2 linked regions of the Elephas maximus indicus genome follow. The protein of the gene in region 1 purifies or fractionates together with the protein of each later gene. This does not show direct contact. Links are inferred from orthologs where the notes say so. Each region holds a gene or a part of one and is shown in the gene's direction. Other genes may lie near its edges.

Region 1 (7,330 bases):
GGATTTGCCTTTCCTGCACGCAATGCTTCTGCCAAAACTAACATCTGTGGACTGAAAGAATGCCTTATCCACCACGCATTGCCTCGGATGAAGGAACTCACTTCACAGCAAATGAAGTCCAGCAATGGGCCCATGCTCATGGAGCCCTGATGGTGCAGTGGTTATGAGCTCAGGTGCTAACCAAAAGCAGTTCGAATCCACCAGCCACTCCTTGGGAACCCTATGGGGCAGTTTTACTCTGTTCTGTAGGGTTGCTATGAGTCAGAACTGGCTCAATGGCAACAGGTTTTACCATGTTCCCTATTACCCTGAAGCAGCTGGCTTTCTAAAGACATAATTATGGTACCAGCTAGGTGGCAATACCTTGCAGGGTTGGGGCAATGTTCTCCAGGAGGCTGTATACACTCTAAACCAGTGCCCAATATATGGTGGTGTTTCTCCCATAGCCAGGATTCTTGGGTCTAGGAATCAAGGGATGGAAATGGGAGTGGCACTACTTACCACTACCCCTAGTGACACACTTGCAAAATGTTAGGTTCCTGACCTTGTGACCCTATGCTCTACAGGTTGAGATCTTAGTTAAGGAATGCTCCCACCAGGAAACACAACACTGATTTGATTGAACTGGAAGTTAATAATGCCACCCAGCCACTTTGGGCTCCCAATGCCTCTGGATCAACAGGCAAAGGGCTACGTATTGGCTGATGTAATTAATCCCGATTATCAAGGGGAAATAGGGTTGAATTACATAATGGGAGTCAAAGAAGAGTATGTCTGGAAAATAAGAGATTCCTTAGGACGTCTCTTAATGCTACCATGCCTTGTGATTAAACGCAAAACTACAGCAACCCAATTCCAACGTGACTAGTAATGGCCCAGACCCTTTAGGAATGAAGGTTTGTGTCACCCCACCAGGCAAAGAACCACAACCAGCTGCAGTGCCTGAGAGCATAGGGAATATGGAGGGGGTGGTAGAAGAAGACTGGTCTAAATAACAGCTATGACCATATCACCAGTTGCAGAAACGAGGACTGTAATTGTTTTGAGTATTTCTTCCTTGTTTTATTATATATGTGTGCATACAGCAAATGCTTTTTCTTTCCTCCGTTGTTCTATTACTTACTATAAGATATAAGACATAAAGAGAACCGGTGTGGTTTCAGTTGTACATGTTAGTTGTATCATGTTAGGCCAACCTGACTTTATAATTGTCTTTATTTAGAGATTATGTATGGTTTAAGATGTGTACAGATGCCAAGTTGGCAAGGGGTGGACTGTGATTATGGTTATGTGTCAACTTGCCAGGCCATGATTCTCTGTGGTTTGACAGATATTACGTAATCATTCTCTATTGTGTGATCTGATATGAACAGCCAATCAGTTGAAAGGGGAGTTTCCTTGGGGGTGTGGCCTGCATCCAGTATATATGGATGTTGTGGAAAAGCTCGCCCTCTCTTGATCCAGCATCCTACTTGTCATTCTCTGACCTCCAGTTCTTGGGACGAAAGCCAGCAACCTTCTGCCTGACCTGCTGATTTTGGGTTCATCAGCTCCTGTAACCATGTGAGTCAGAAGCCTGCAGCCTGATACCTCTTAACCAGGATTTGGGACCTGCCAGCCTCCACAACTGCATGAGCCATTTATTTGAGAAATAAATCCTTGTTTATATATTCACTTCACTGCTTTTGTTCCTCTAGAGAAACCAGCCTAAGACCTCCTCTAATCCAGTGCTGGTTGTGCCAGCAAATAAAAATACTGTTTATTTCAGCTGACTTACTAACAGGATTTCCCTGTGAAGGAAGCAATCGGTAAACTAACATTCTACAATAAGCTCCTTTCTTATCAAATTCATCTTCTAATGATGTCTGACCAGCACTTTAAGTAACACTTTAATTTTTCACACTGCAGCCAGAGGGCATTTTAATATGCAAATTTTATCTTGCCATTTTTTTTTTTAAACTATGATTTCTCAAGTGCTTTTAGGATAAAAGAAGACCAAATTTATGTTGTCCTTTGGTCTCATTTTAAATTTTACATCTTTTGAGAAATGCTCTTTGGTTTTCCAAGGCTAAGTTAAAACAAAAAACCAAACCCACTGCCGTCGAGTCAATTCTGACTCACAGTGACCCTACAGGACAGAGTAGAACTGCCCCACAGGGTTTCCAAGAAGCGCCTGGTGGATTCAAACTGCTGACCTTTTGGTTAGCAGCTGTAGCTCTTAACCACTATGCCACCAGGGTTTCCAAGGTTAAGTTAAAAAAAAAAAAATTCAGTGCCGTCGAGTTGATTCCGACTCATAGCGACCCTATAAGATAAAGTAGAACTGCCCCATTAAAAAAAAAGGTCTCCCTAAATGTCTCTTCAGTGGCACTTAATTGTTTATGTCTTTTCGCCTCATTATACTCTAAACTTTCTGGATCCCTAGCATAATCTTAGGCAATTAGAAACTCGGTACATATTTGATGAATGAATGAACGAACGAAGCACTGTATTTGCATGAAGTAGTTTAAAAACAGAAACATCTCAAGGGTTTTTTTTTTTTTCTCTAAGTGGTAGCTTTTAATAATGGGGTACGTTTAGTAATAATGCGCTAGGGAAAAGGTCAAAGGTAAAATTTTCTACATTCTTAAATGATATGTTAAGAGGTATATAAACACAACTCTTTTCACTTTTTCTTTTCTTCAGGCCCATGGCAGGCGCTTCAGAAGAAGGTAAACATTTACAGAGTACCTGTTATATTCCAGACAATGTTTAATAGTTCTTTCCTACAGTTCTCATTGAGAGAACTAAAGAATTTTGATTGCTCTTGCAGCAAGAGAAGGAAAAATAAAACTCAGATTCTTTTTATTACACTGTAGTAGTAACAGAAAGCTTATCTTTTGCACTTTCATTAACATTGCTTAAGTCCATATCTATCAACGACTAAATTCCTCCAGCGAGACTGCGTGTGGCTATTATAAATCTAAAAGCTTCCTATGTCAATGCTGCTAGTGAGCGATTTTCTAATTTTAATGAGAACACAGTGGGCTTTGATTGCTGACTTGCACAAGAAGATCTCTCTCTCTCATGGCGTCATTTGTGTCAAGGACCATCCTAATATAAAGGAGTAAAAGAATAGAAAAATTAAGATATCCTCCTGTCACTTTAAGAGGTAATCATCGCACGGTACTTGGGTGTTTTTCAGAAAGTGGGTAAACCTTCCCCGAAGGGAGAGAAAAATTTTGCAGATTTGCAAAATACACACACAAAAGGCAAATATGATGCTTCCCTGCTACTAGCTGGGTAGTGAAGTTATCAGTAGAAAGGGGGATCCTCCAGTGCCTTTCACACAAATGACACCTAGACTAGGTGCTCCCGTCTCCTTCACCCCCACTCCCTGCCCTGGTTACCTGTGGAAGCTGATGTTAATGTGCTTGTTGTAGGTGGCAGCACAGCCCGCCGCGGCGCAATTGGTCGGCATTTCCCTTTACCCCTCATTCGGCGTTGTCTTAAGCCTGTTCTGAGGCGATAGCGGCTATGTTTTCTGAGGGCAGAGGCTGAGCAAGTGAGGCAGAGTAAGGGTCCACCGAGGGAACAGGGTGGGAGAAAGGGTGTGTGTGGGGTGTGGGGAAAGCCCAACCTTCCCTTTCTCTTTATTAAGATGGCGGGCTGGAGCTATCAGAGTCGACCATCCTGGAGCTCCAGTCGCCTTCGTATGCCTTCACCAACATGGCGGCTACAACCCGCCCCCTCCCGCAGTAGGCAAAAAAGAAGTACGACAAGGCCGTGTCTTTGGCAGCAGTCCTCCGAGCAATCCAAGGAGGAGGTGCTTCCTCCTCCGATTACTACGAAGCTCCCTCAAGGGCGTAACTAACAACAGGCCCGCCCACCCTGGCACGTACCCAACAGACCCATTCCTGAGTCTGGCAGAGCTGTCAGCAGCATGCGGAAAGGACGAAGCCGTGCAGCGAGGACAGAAATACTCCAAATCCCACCGAGCATCGCGAAGTCCTCGTATTATCGCGTTGATAGGCAGTCTTGTTTCCTGCGTGTCGCAGGAAGTGACGTTGCGAGCATAGCCACTTCCAGAGCCCCTTTCTCGGCAGGCGGAAGAGCTCAGATCGCGGAGAAGCCAGGGGGCGCTAGGGAAGGGATCTGGGTTGCGACGGTCCGGCGAGAAAGAGCTGGGGTGCGGGGAAGTTGGGGAGCAGAGCCCGCTAGGTGTCCGAGTAGGGTAAGGCCGCACCGACCGGGTCCGTTAGGAAGAAAGGGAGGCGAGGAGGAAGGCACTTGTCGGGCGGATCCCCGGACGAAGGGCTAAGGTTGTGTGGAAGGCACTGCTCCCCGGATGGCGACCGCAGACACTCCGGCCCCGGCCTCCAGCGGCCTCTCGCCCAAGGAGGAAGGGGAGCTAGAAGATGGGGAGATTAGCGACGACGATAATAACAGCCAGATCCGGAGCCGGAGTAGCAGCAGCAGCAGTGGCGGTGGGCTGTTACCTTATTCGCGGCGAAGGCCTCACCCGACCCGGGGTGGTGGATCCGGCGGAGGCGGTGGCTCCTCCTCATCGTCGTGCTCTTCTCAACAGCAGCTGAGGAATTTCTCACGCTCGCGGCACCCTTCGGAGCGGGGCCACCTCAGGGGACACAGCAGCTACCGACCCAAAGAGCCGTTCCGGTCTCACCCGCCTTCTGTGCGGATGCCTTCGAGCTCCCTGTCCGAAAGCAGTCCCCGACCGTCCTTCTGGGAGCGGAGCCACATCGCCTTGGACCGTTTCCGCTTTAGAGGCAGGCCTTATCGGGGTGGGAGTCGCTGGAGTCGGGGACGAGGAGGGGGTGAGCGAGGAGGCAAGCCGGGGGGCCGACCTCCCCTGGGAGGAGGAACGGGTTCCGGATTCAGCAGCAGTCAGAGCTGGCGAGAGTCTTCTCCACCTCGGAAGAGTTGTATCCTTAACGTGGCGGTCTGCCTGGGTGTGTCACTTCCTAAAGTTCCCTTTAGCGTCATTACTAAGTCTGTGAAATGAGTGTAACTTTCCTGAACCATCAGAACCGCTTATTTGTCAATGTGTCGATATAAAGTAAGTTTTTGTTTGTTAATTTCCGTGTGCCACACTATTGTGTTGTTTCTTAAGATTGTTTTATTGGGTAGATTGCTTGTTTAATATTTACGTATTATGGATTGGGGCCAAACTAGTGGACTCGAAGATAGTCTACAATCAGGTTTATAATAGTATGTCACAAGTCTGCGTTTCATTAGCATTTGTTTTTGCTGATACAGGAATTTTGAGTTTTATGTGAAGTTGACTTGGATTGTTGGAGGGGAAAAAAATAAAACAGTTTTGGGAAATACTGTTGGTTATGTCACAGTGCACTTCAGACATTGAAAATGTCAAGTTTTTTCTGCATAAGCTTACTTTCCTACATGTGACTCTGTTTTTACTTTTCTTGCTTTATTTTTCACCATTGCTGCCTTTTCGATGACAGCGGGTTTGGTTTTTTGGTTTTGCTGCCTTTTAAAGTGGTTAAAAAAAAAAAGACCTGGTACCTTAACCAAGTGGATTAATTCAGACCTGAATGACATGTATCTTTTTGGAAAGTTTCACCTCCTTAACGTCTTTTTCCTATGTTCACTTTTTAGATATAACTCAAATGTGAACCAGAGAGTGAAAAATAAATTTAGCAGCATTTTTATTTTAATATATTACAAGCCATGGGGGGTGGGAGTGGGTATGGAGGGTGGAGAGGTTGAGAAGCAAAATACCAAAATATCTGATTTATACCTCCTCTAGTTTCATCCTTAGACATCGTTAACATTAGGGAGTTTACTGAGTAGTTATCGGAGGAATAAATCATCTGAGGGTTTGCTGTTTTATGATGAGTTTGGAGAACTGTGTCTTGACTTATTCTGTGAGGACTGCATAAAAGTAGTTTACTAAGCTCATTCATCACTGGATGTAATTTCCGTGGTGTAATGCTTTTTTTCTGTATTTATTATATATGAAGTGTGTACTAATAACATTTGTAAGACACTCAGAGTCATTTTTATGGAATACTTAGGCGCAAGATGGTCCTCCCCACATGTCATGATGTCATGATGTAAAAACATATATTCAGGAAAGAAACAGCAACTTCTGTTTCTAGTGCTTTGAAAAAACTTACTTCTACAACCAAAAGTTGGGTTAGGTGTATTCCAGGATTGTTTCAGAGAAAATCATGTAGATACTTATCTTTTTAAAAGACAGAAGATTTTTTTTTAATAAGGTTGGAAAACCTCTGCCCACATGGCTTTGTCAGTTAATTCTGAACCTGAACACAGATGAGCTATTTAAGCATATAATGTGTGTGTGTGCTTTTTTTTTTTCTTTTTGAGATACAGAGATAAAACTTGTAGTTTGTGTTGGGGAGACAAATGTAAATAAATACAGCTTTGTGTAAAAAGTTCAAATTGAGGTGTGTAAGAAGTACTGTGAGAGTTCAAAACTTTTAAACGTATTTTCTGTATTAGATAAGGGGGTGATGAGTGGGCTTGCTTACCTCATGCCTTTGTCCCTTTTTCTGTATGCAGTTATGTTCATTCATTCAATAACAGTTTGGGCCTTTGTCATACCTTTGCCAATTGTCAAGCTTATGTGTTTTTATTGAACAGCCATGTGATGAGAAAAAGTACAGGAAAATATCCAGCCTGCCTGTGTGACTTTGGGCTAGTTATTTAACTTTGTTGGATTTCAGTTTTTTAATCTTAATTTTTAAAATTTGGGATAACAGCTAAGAATGTTGAGAGAATGAGGTGAACTAAACTTACTGAACATATTTTGAAATTTTAAAAGGATGTTCATTTTTACAATGTATTGACTTGTAACTTCTCAGAAGTGAGCTATCTTGCTGTTTTTCTTTTTGCAGATGCGGCTGTTAAAAAAGGATGCTTGTTTTGATTTCCTGCCCATTAGTTTCCTGGTGAAGTATCACTAATCCAGCCTAGAGGTAGTGTTCTTTGTAAGAACTTAAGAAGGAAAACATAGTTCCCAGCCTCTTTTGTATATCATGAGCAAATAAAATTTGTAATACAAAGCTTTATTACTTCAAATTCCATTGATATGAATGTTGTACTTAGTTAATTCATATTTCCACTGAATGACCATAATAATGACATTTTGATTTTACAGATATTGCAATAGAGTTGTTCTGTGACTTACTTCCATAATCTAGAAGGGAAGTGGAAATAAGTTACAAAATAATTCCTAATTTTTTTTAACTCAATAGTTGTAAAATTAAAATATCATTATTATGATCATGCAGTGGAAGTATGAACTAAACTAAGTACAACTTTGACATCAAAAGGAATTTGAAGTGAT
Region 2 (7,691 bases), on another chromosome or scaffold:
CTGCCCCAGAGTTTCCAAGGAGCGCCTGATGGGTTTGAACTGCCGACCTTTTGGTTGGCAGCCGTAGCACCTAACCGCCACGCCATCATGGTTTCCAAACAATTGCTGTGACTTGATAAATGACTGAATACAAGAGCAGAATGTATTACACTGCTTAGATTTTCAGGCTGGATGACCTGGAGTCACAATCTGTGTACAGCAGGCAATCACTAAATACTTGTCTAATGAATGACACAGGGAAGCAGGAAGAAGTACATTTTGTGAGAGGACAGATTTGATATTGCACATGAGTTTCCCAAGTGATAATCTAATTACTTGTACTCTGGGGCTGTCTCAACAGAACTCTCCTCTTTCCTGCCTTAAGTAGATACTTATCGTTGGTGTTGCTGTTTGGGCTATCGTGATTAGCTCTTGAATAACAGCATCCAATTTCTCTTTAAGGAACTACCTCTCCCCGACAGTGTGCAGTCTTGCCAGTACTGTCAATCAGATCTTGCCCTCCCTCAGCTAAGACTCCACTTTCTCCTGGACTTTGAAAATTTAAGTATCCTAAGAGCAAAGAGTCCTTGGGTGGTACAAACAGTTAATATGCTAAGCTGCTAAGTGAAAGGCTGGTGTCCACCCAGAGGCACCTTGGAAGAAGGGCCAGAGATCTACGTCTGAAAAATCAGCCATTGAAAGTTCTGCGGAGCACAGTTCTACTCTGACACACATAGAGTTGCCATGGGTCAGAGCTGACTTGATGGCAACTGGTTAAGGTTACCAGTTACCATCGAGTCCGTTCCAAATCATGGCGGCCCCATGTAGATTTCCAGGCCTTTCTTCTGAGGTACCTCTAGGTGGGCTTGAACCTCCAAGCTTTCAACTTGGCCTTGTACTCAGGCCTTCTCATCAATCCATGAGTGACTTGGTTTTTATTTATTCTTCTAATAAATTCTTTTTTTTTTTTTAATTTATTTAATAAGCCATTGTTGGTTTCTAGTACTTGAGAGGAAAACAAGTAATACCTAATATACCACCTTCATGATCTCCTTGCATAAGAGTTCTCCCCATCCCAGACTCCTTTCCTACTCTACTTTCCACACTGGGAAGACATGTATAAGCACTATAGTCTTTAAATCAATGCTGTCAAAAAAGAAAAAAAAAGTGCAAGCCCCACATATAATTTTAAATTTTCTAGCAGCCTCATTAAAAATAAGTAAAAGAAACAGGTGAAATTCATTCTAATACTGTTTTATTTAAACCAATATATCTACTGCTATTCAACATATAATTGATATGAAAAAATATTAATGAGTTGACATTTTATTTTTCATTTTGTCTTTCAAATCTGGTATTTTACACTTTACACAAACAAAAACCCACTGTCTTCCAGTCAATTCCGACTCATAGTGACACTATACAGTACATCTCAGTTTGGACGCCAAATTTTCAAAGGTTAAAGTGAAAGAAAGTCCTTCCAAAACAATAAAGTTGTGTATAACAAAAAATATTTTATACTGTTTTTAAAAATATAAATTAACAAAAATTAAAAATTGAGTTCCTCAGTCCCATTTCAAGTGCTCAATATCCACACTTGGCTAGTGGCTACTGCACTGGGCAGCATAGGTTTAAATATGATCTGCTCCAAGGGTGAAGAGACTTGGGAAAACCTTTCCTTAATGGATTCGATAGATGGCAGGTATTGTTGGCTTTCACACTTCCAACAACTTCCATTATTAAAGGACTCAGAATTGTGTGAAGACCTATTAGAAATATTCTTTCCACCGAAACGATGTTTCCTCGGCTGTATAACTAATGCAGGTTAACACATTATTGAGTGTGAGACCTATCCTTTCTGTTCTACAATTCAGTAACAAAGAGAGATCAAGGAGTTATCTTCTCTGTCAGGGAATTTAAAGGCTATTACACTATTACTCTTAAGTCACTTCTTGTTTACTACATTTTGATGAGCGAAAAGAGACTTTGGGGCTTAGTTTTTAACATAAGCATTTTCACTGCCAAATAAAATGTATAAATTTGAATGGCAGGTTGAAGAGTTTGACCTCTATCCCCCAGGCAAAAATGAGCTATTATAAGTTCTGGAGCAGGTGAGTGATATGATAAAATCAATGTTTCAGAAAAATCAATCAGAATCCAATATGCAGGTAGACTGGTAACAACAGAGGTCCATAAGAGGGGTGTGGAGCTTCTGGCATCCTTCAAAGGTTCACACATGTTCTTCTGTTGGGAACACCATTTTCCTCTTTAGAAGCTGACAAGACATATGCTCATCCTTCAAGAACAAGTTCAGAGTCACCTTAGTTTCTTGGAGGCAGACTGCAGACTGAGTCACTTCTTCACTTCTGCTCCCATAGCACTTCTTTCAAAATCCTGAACAGAACCCACAAGGCCCTGCCTGATTCAACCTCAGCCTTTCTCTCTAGTCCCATGTCCTGTGGAGTTCCCTTTCTGTCTCTCCATCTCTCCACTCCAGACACTCTTCTCTATTCCATGGGCTGAATAAGTACCTCCTGGCCTCAGGGCAGGAGTCCCTGGGTGGCACAAACTATTAAGCAAGCTGTAGCCTGAAGGTTGGCCATTCAAATCCACAGAGGTGCCTCAGAAGACAGGCCCCGTGATCTGCTTCCAAAAGGTCACAGCCTTGAAAACCCTATGAGGCACAGTTCCACTCTGCAACATATAGGGTTGCCAACTCAAAGAAAGGCAACTGGTTGAATTCTGGTTTGTCCTCAGGGCCTTCTTATACACAATTATCTAGGATTGAAAGGTCTTTTCCCAGGCTAATTTCTCTCCTTTCAGATCTCAGCTTAAATACCACACCTTTAGGGGAGTCCTTCCCTTTCCCAGGCCAGAATGATTAGCTGCCCTTGCTATACCCTCACTGTACTCCAGACTTTTCTTATAAGGCTCTTATCACAACTGTAATCTACAGCTGTTGCTCCCACTAGATAAACTCCATGACAACAGGAACTGTCTTGTTCTCATTTCAGGGCCATTGCAGTTGCTAGTCGATCCTTTTAGAACACTCTATCTCCAACTCTTCATACATTAGGGTTTTTTTTTTTCCTCTCAACTGTCAAGCCTTAGCACTATCGTTTGACAAGGACCATCCCAGATCAGCTCATCTAAAGTAACCCTAAAAGTCACTCAATCATAGCACCCTATTCCATTGTACTCACCACTTATTTATGTCCAGAATGTCAGCTCCAGGAAAGACAGGTCATGTGCTTTTACTCACTATTGTACCTCACACATTAGCACGATGTCTGACACACAGTTATGAATGAATGTGGTTCGGTATCCACTTACCAAATCAGATTGCATTTATTTACTCCACTGAGGTAACCTGCAAGTCAGAGCCGTATTTTTATCAGCAACATTCAAAAAACTATTTAAATCTCAGCTCTAACACTTTATTAGCTGTGTGGCCTTGGGCAAGTCCCTTCACCTCTCTGGGTCTCAGGTTCCCTAACTATATCATGATGATAACAATATCTTCTTCAGAGTTCTTATTAGGATCCAATTAAAAAAAAAAAAAATTACACACGAGGTACCCAGCACAAGAGTATGGTATATAATGCACGTCGCTATGAGTCGGAATCGACTCGACGGCACTGGGTTTTTGTGGGTATTTGCTGAAATGCTATTAGGTTGGGTGATGTTTTCCAAAGTGTGGGACCTGCCAACAGTGTGAAAGATGCCTTTAGGTGGTACAAACAGCATAAATTAAGAGCATTATAACTGTTGTTAGGTGCCGAGTCGATTGTGACTCCTAGCTGCCCGATAGGGGTTCCTAGGCTGTACTCTTTACTGAAGCAGTTTGCCAGGCCTTTCTTCCACAGAGCAGCTGGGTGGGTTAGAATCTTAACACTTTGGTTAGCAAAGGTCAGCAGCCAAGAGCTTAACCTTTGCACTACTGGGCTCCTTCGCATTATAACTTTCCCTTTTCAACGTTCTTACAATTCTTTAGATGAAAACCAGGTCTTCTTGTGCTCCTGAGTCTAACATCTGTCATCTTCCCCATCTGTTGCTATCGCTCTTTAGCAAAGAGATCGTTTAGGGAGAACAACAGTTAATAAAGGAACCTAACATTGTTTTTCATCTTATTTGTTTGCATAGTGGTTAAGAGCCATTCTGGAGTCAGACTGCCTGGGTTTACACCCACCTCCCTCACTCAGTTACTTCAGACTACTTAATGAACCTCCTGACACCTCAGTTTACCCAACTGCAACAAGGGAATGATATCCACCTCACAGGGTTAGTTTAAACGTAAAATGAACTATTAGATGGAAAGTGGTCCAGAACACAGTAAGCCTAAGACCCCTGTTAAATAACAACGGTCCAGGACGTGGGGCAGGGAGGGGTCCCTGAGGCGGGCAGCCCTGAGACCCTGAGGAACGCACCCTTCACTCGCGTGTGGGGACCTCAGCTGCGGGCCAGGCTCTCTCTCGCGCTCGTCTGATTTCGTGCTCTTTGGGGTCTCCCCATGGCATTTAAGCTGCTCTCACCCTAGCGTCGGCGGGCAGCACGACGCTCCTTCAGCAGATGACCGTCCCACAAGGGACTGACGAAGACCCAGATTGCGCTGGAACTCGAGGGACGGGGCGGAGCCATGGGGGGGGGAACGCCGCGTTACGTAAGACGCCGCCACGCACGCAGCGCACGGAGCACGGCGCTGGGCTGGGGCAGCATGGCGGCCGAACACAAGACCAAGTTGTCCAAGAACCTGCTGCGCATGAAGGTGCGGGGACTTGGGGCGGGCTGGGGTAGGGGCACCTGGTCCTCCGGGCCTGGCCGGGGCCGAGGCGGTGTGCGTACGGGAGGTGCCGGCAAGGCCTTGGGGGACCCCCAGCTTTCGCGTTCATTCATTCACTTAGCACCAGCTCTGCGTTAGGCGCCGGGAATCAGATTGTGAATGAGGCCGACTCTTGAAACCCGCTGTCGGATACGGGAGACAGACGCTTAAACAAGGAGAATACAGCGTGCTAAGCGTAGGACGGTGGAAGTGTCCGAAGCCGGGGGAACTTACTTGGAATTCTCGCGGAAAGTGGCCCTTCAGTAGAGACTGAAGGGTAAGCAGAAGGTGGTGAGCATAGACCTGAGCTGAGGGAGAGGCGTGAAGGAGTGTTAGAAATCTGAGAGGCACGAAAAATAATCTTTTTCCTCCCTAGAAACCAAAGATAAATCAGTGATACAGCTGGAGGGAAAGTACCGAGCAGTGAGGCTGGGGGTGAAGGCAGCGTTAATAGCCATGGCACTTTAGTTGAGGTTAAGGATTTTTTTTTTTTTGCCTTAAGAGCAGTGGAAAGCTATTGAGCGCAGGGAACAGTATCATTGGCTGTGCTTTTTACTTTTAAAGGTTACTTTAACTGCCCTGTAGGGAATGCATTGGTGGAAGGAAGGCCTGACAGAAGACACAGTTGCAGTCTGGAAGACGAGTTAAAAGTTCTGATGGTCCAGGTGAGGGTTGATGGTTACCAGAATGAGTGCAGTGGTGGTGGGAATGGAAAGAATGTTAATAGTTGAGGTGAAAGTGAGTTATGTCACCCAGCTTTAAGCAAAATTGATTTTTAGAGTTGAGATTGAAGTCATCTTAACCCAAGAATTTCAAAATGGAAAAAATAACAAGGGTAGATAAAATGTGTACAGAAATCGAGATGGGCAAACAAAGAAGACTTAAAACATAAATAATAATAACGAGCATTTTTAGTCCTTACTATGTCCCAGGCAGTATCCTGAGTGCTTTTCGTATATTAACCCATTTAATCCTGACCATAACCCACTGAGGTGGTACAGTTGTCATTATTCCTCTTTTACAACTGAGGCAAATAAAACAGAGAAGTAAGTAACTTGTCTAAATTTGCATCGCTAGTAAGTAGTGTACACAGGACACAAACTCAGGCAGTCTGCCTCCAGAACCCGTTTAAATCACTATACTTCTTGTCACTGAACACTCATTATTGTTAGATGGGTACCTGGCTGTCTCAAATGGTTAAGTATTCAGCTACTAACTGGAAGGTTGGCAGTTCGAACCCACCCAGAGGCACTTGAGAAGACAAGCCTGGAGATCTGCTTTCAAAAGGTCACAGTCTTGAAAACCCTATGGAGCAGTTTCTACTCTGCACACATGGGGTCACCACGAGTTGGAATTGGCTCAGTGGGAACTAACAGCAACAAGATTTTGGAGAAGTTGAATGTGTTGAGAGCAGAAATTTGAAAACATTTTAGAAGTTGTTTTGGCTCTTAGAATAGGCCGGATGAATATGTACTAGGTGTTTAGGGCTCAGATCAGAGATATGACTGTGGAGTTAGGAAGGAAGAAATTAATTTTAAGAAAAAATTATCCACTCCCACCCAAATGGCTGGGATTGGAGACTTAATTGAACATTGAAAGCAAAGGAAAAGGGAGAAAGTTACCCAGGTTTTTCAATTTGGGTTAGCAATTTTGATTGTTGACAAGAAGGAACTTACCCACGGGATTGCAAGAGAAACTTTACGTAGAGTGTCCTGTGAAAATAAGTGGAGCAGCTACAGACTCAGGATCCAAAGTTCAGCCAAAGCTAAGTATGGAGCATAGATGAGAGGATTGAAGAGTTAATCCTGACTCATTTGTTGTTAGATGTACTTGAACTCCTCTGATTTGGTCAGCATTTGGGGACTGGAGGTGTAAAAGTGGAGTGGGGCGTCATACCTCCTCATCTAACTTCACAAGGGGGGAGGAGAGTCATCAGCATTAATAGCCCAAGGCTGATTGCTATGAGCTGGAGGTCAGATATACCACCCTTCAACCTTTTTACCAATTCTGACACCAGCCATCCCTCCCGCAATACTCTGTGCTTTTTTGCTGGGTTTGATAATTCATTGCAATGGCCACACACAGCTCACAGACCATATTCACAGTTATGGGGTTCATTAGGGAAGTAACAGGTTACAAATCAGGATCAGGAACAACTCAGGATACAGTTCTTTGGTCAGGACAGCTTTTCAGCTGTGCCCACAGGACGGCCTCTCCCTCAGCCCCTGGGCCTCTCCTCTGCCCTTCTCCAACAAGCTCTGCTGATAGGTTCCCAGAGGCACCCCACTCCGCCAGAAAATCTTCTGCCTGAAGGCATTCATCTCTCACTCCATAGGTTGGTGAACCTAGCTTCTCTGACCCCACTCCGCCAGGTAACCTCCTGCCAGAAGGCACTCAGCCTTCTCACTCCATGGGTCAGGACACCCACTGTAGCTGCCTTATTCTGTGGGCTTCAGCCGACCGCTCCGTCTCCTGGGTCTTCTGCCGCCATTTCTCTGCAACAGCTTCTCACCATGTCACGCTGTCTCTGGTGGAACAGCTCTCTTTCTCTCTCTCTTGCTTTCTCTCTCCTGGGTATAGGACAGTATCAGTGCAGAGACCCCAGGTCCAAAGGACATGCTCCCAGCTCTTCTTCTTGGTGTTAGTGATATTCCCTCTCTGTTCTGGGATTGGCTCTCTTATAAGCCTAGCGTGATTCCAAAACTGACCAATCCCTTTGTTACATCTTATTTGTATGGTCCTGAGAGCTCAGCTGCTAACCTAAAGGTTGGCAGCTCAAATCTACCAGCCACTTGTTGGAAACCCTATGGGGTAGTTTTACTCTGTCCTGTAGGGTCACTATGAGTTGGAACCAACTCAACAGCGCCTAACAACAACTCCCACAATGGTGCCA

The links.
Region 2: the proteins of ZFC3H1 (region 1) and MPHOSPH6 purify together in Homo sapiens (affinity purification with mass spectrometry; 3 studies listed by BioGRID and IntAct, with this or other methods). This does not show direct contact. The link is inferred for Elephas maximus indicus from reciprocal best matches to the Homo sapiens genes ZFC3H1 and MPHOSPH6.

Annotation. Positions count from the first base shown.
Region 1 is NC_064822.1:133,175,450-133,182,779, reverse strand, and holds the start of ZFC3H1 (zinc finger C3H1 domain-containing protein), read left to right. Parts: upstream 1-4,327; coding exon 4,328-4,922; intron 4,923-7,223; exon of another isoform or gene 7,224-7,330. Other genes in the region: THAP2 (THAP domain-containing protein 2), read right to left, coding at 3,390-3,460. UniProt on the Homo sapiens protein: Subunit of the trimeric poly(A) tail exosome targeting (PAXT) complex, a complex that directs a subset of long and polyadenylated poly(A) RNAs for exosomal degradation. The RNA exosome is fundamental for the degradation of RNA in eukaryotic nuclei.
Region 2 is NC_064839.1:48,078,830-48,086,520, reverse strand, and holds the start of MPHOSPH6 (M-phase phosphoprotein 6), read left to right. Parts: upstream 1-4,670; 5' UTR 4,671-4,693; coding exon 4,694-4,744; intron 4,745-4,828; exon of another isoform or gene 4,829-5,075; intron 5,076-5,383; exon of another isoform or gene 5,384-5,454; coding exon of another isoform or gene 5,455-5,463; intron 5,464-7,691. UniProt on the Homo sapiens protein: RNA-binding protein that associates with the RNA exosome complex. Involved in the 3'-processing of the 7S pre-RNA to the mature 5.8S rRNA and play a role in recruiting the RNA exosome complex to pre-rRNA; this function may include C1D.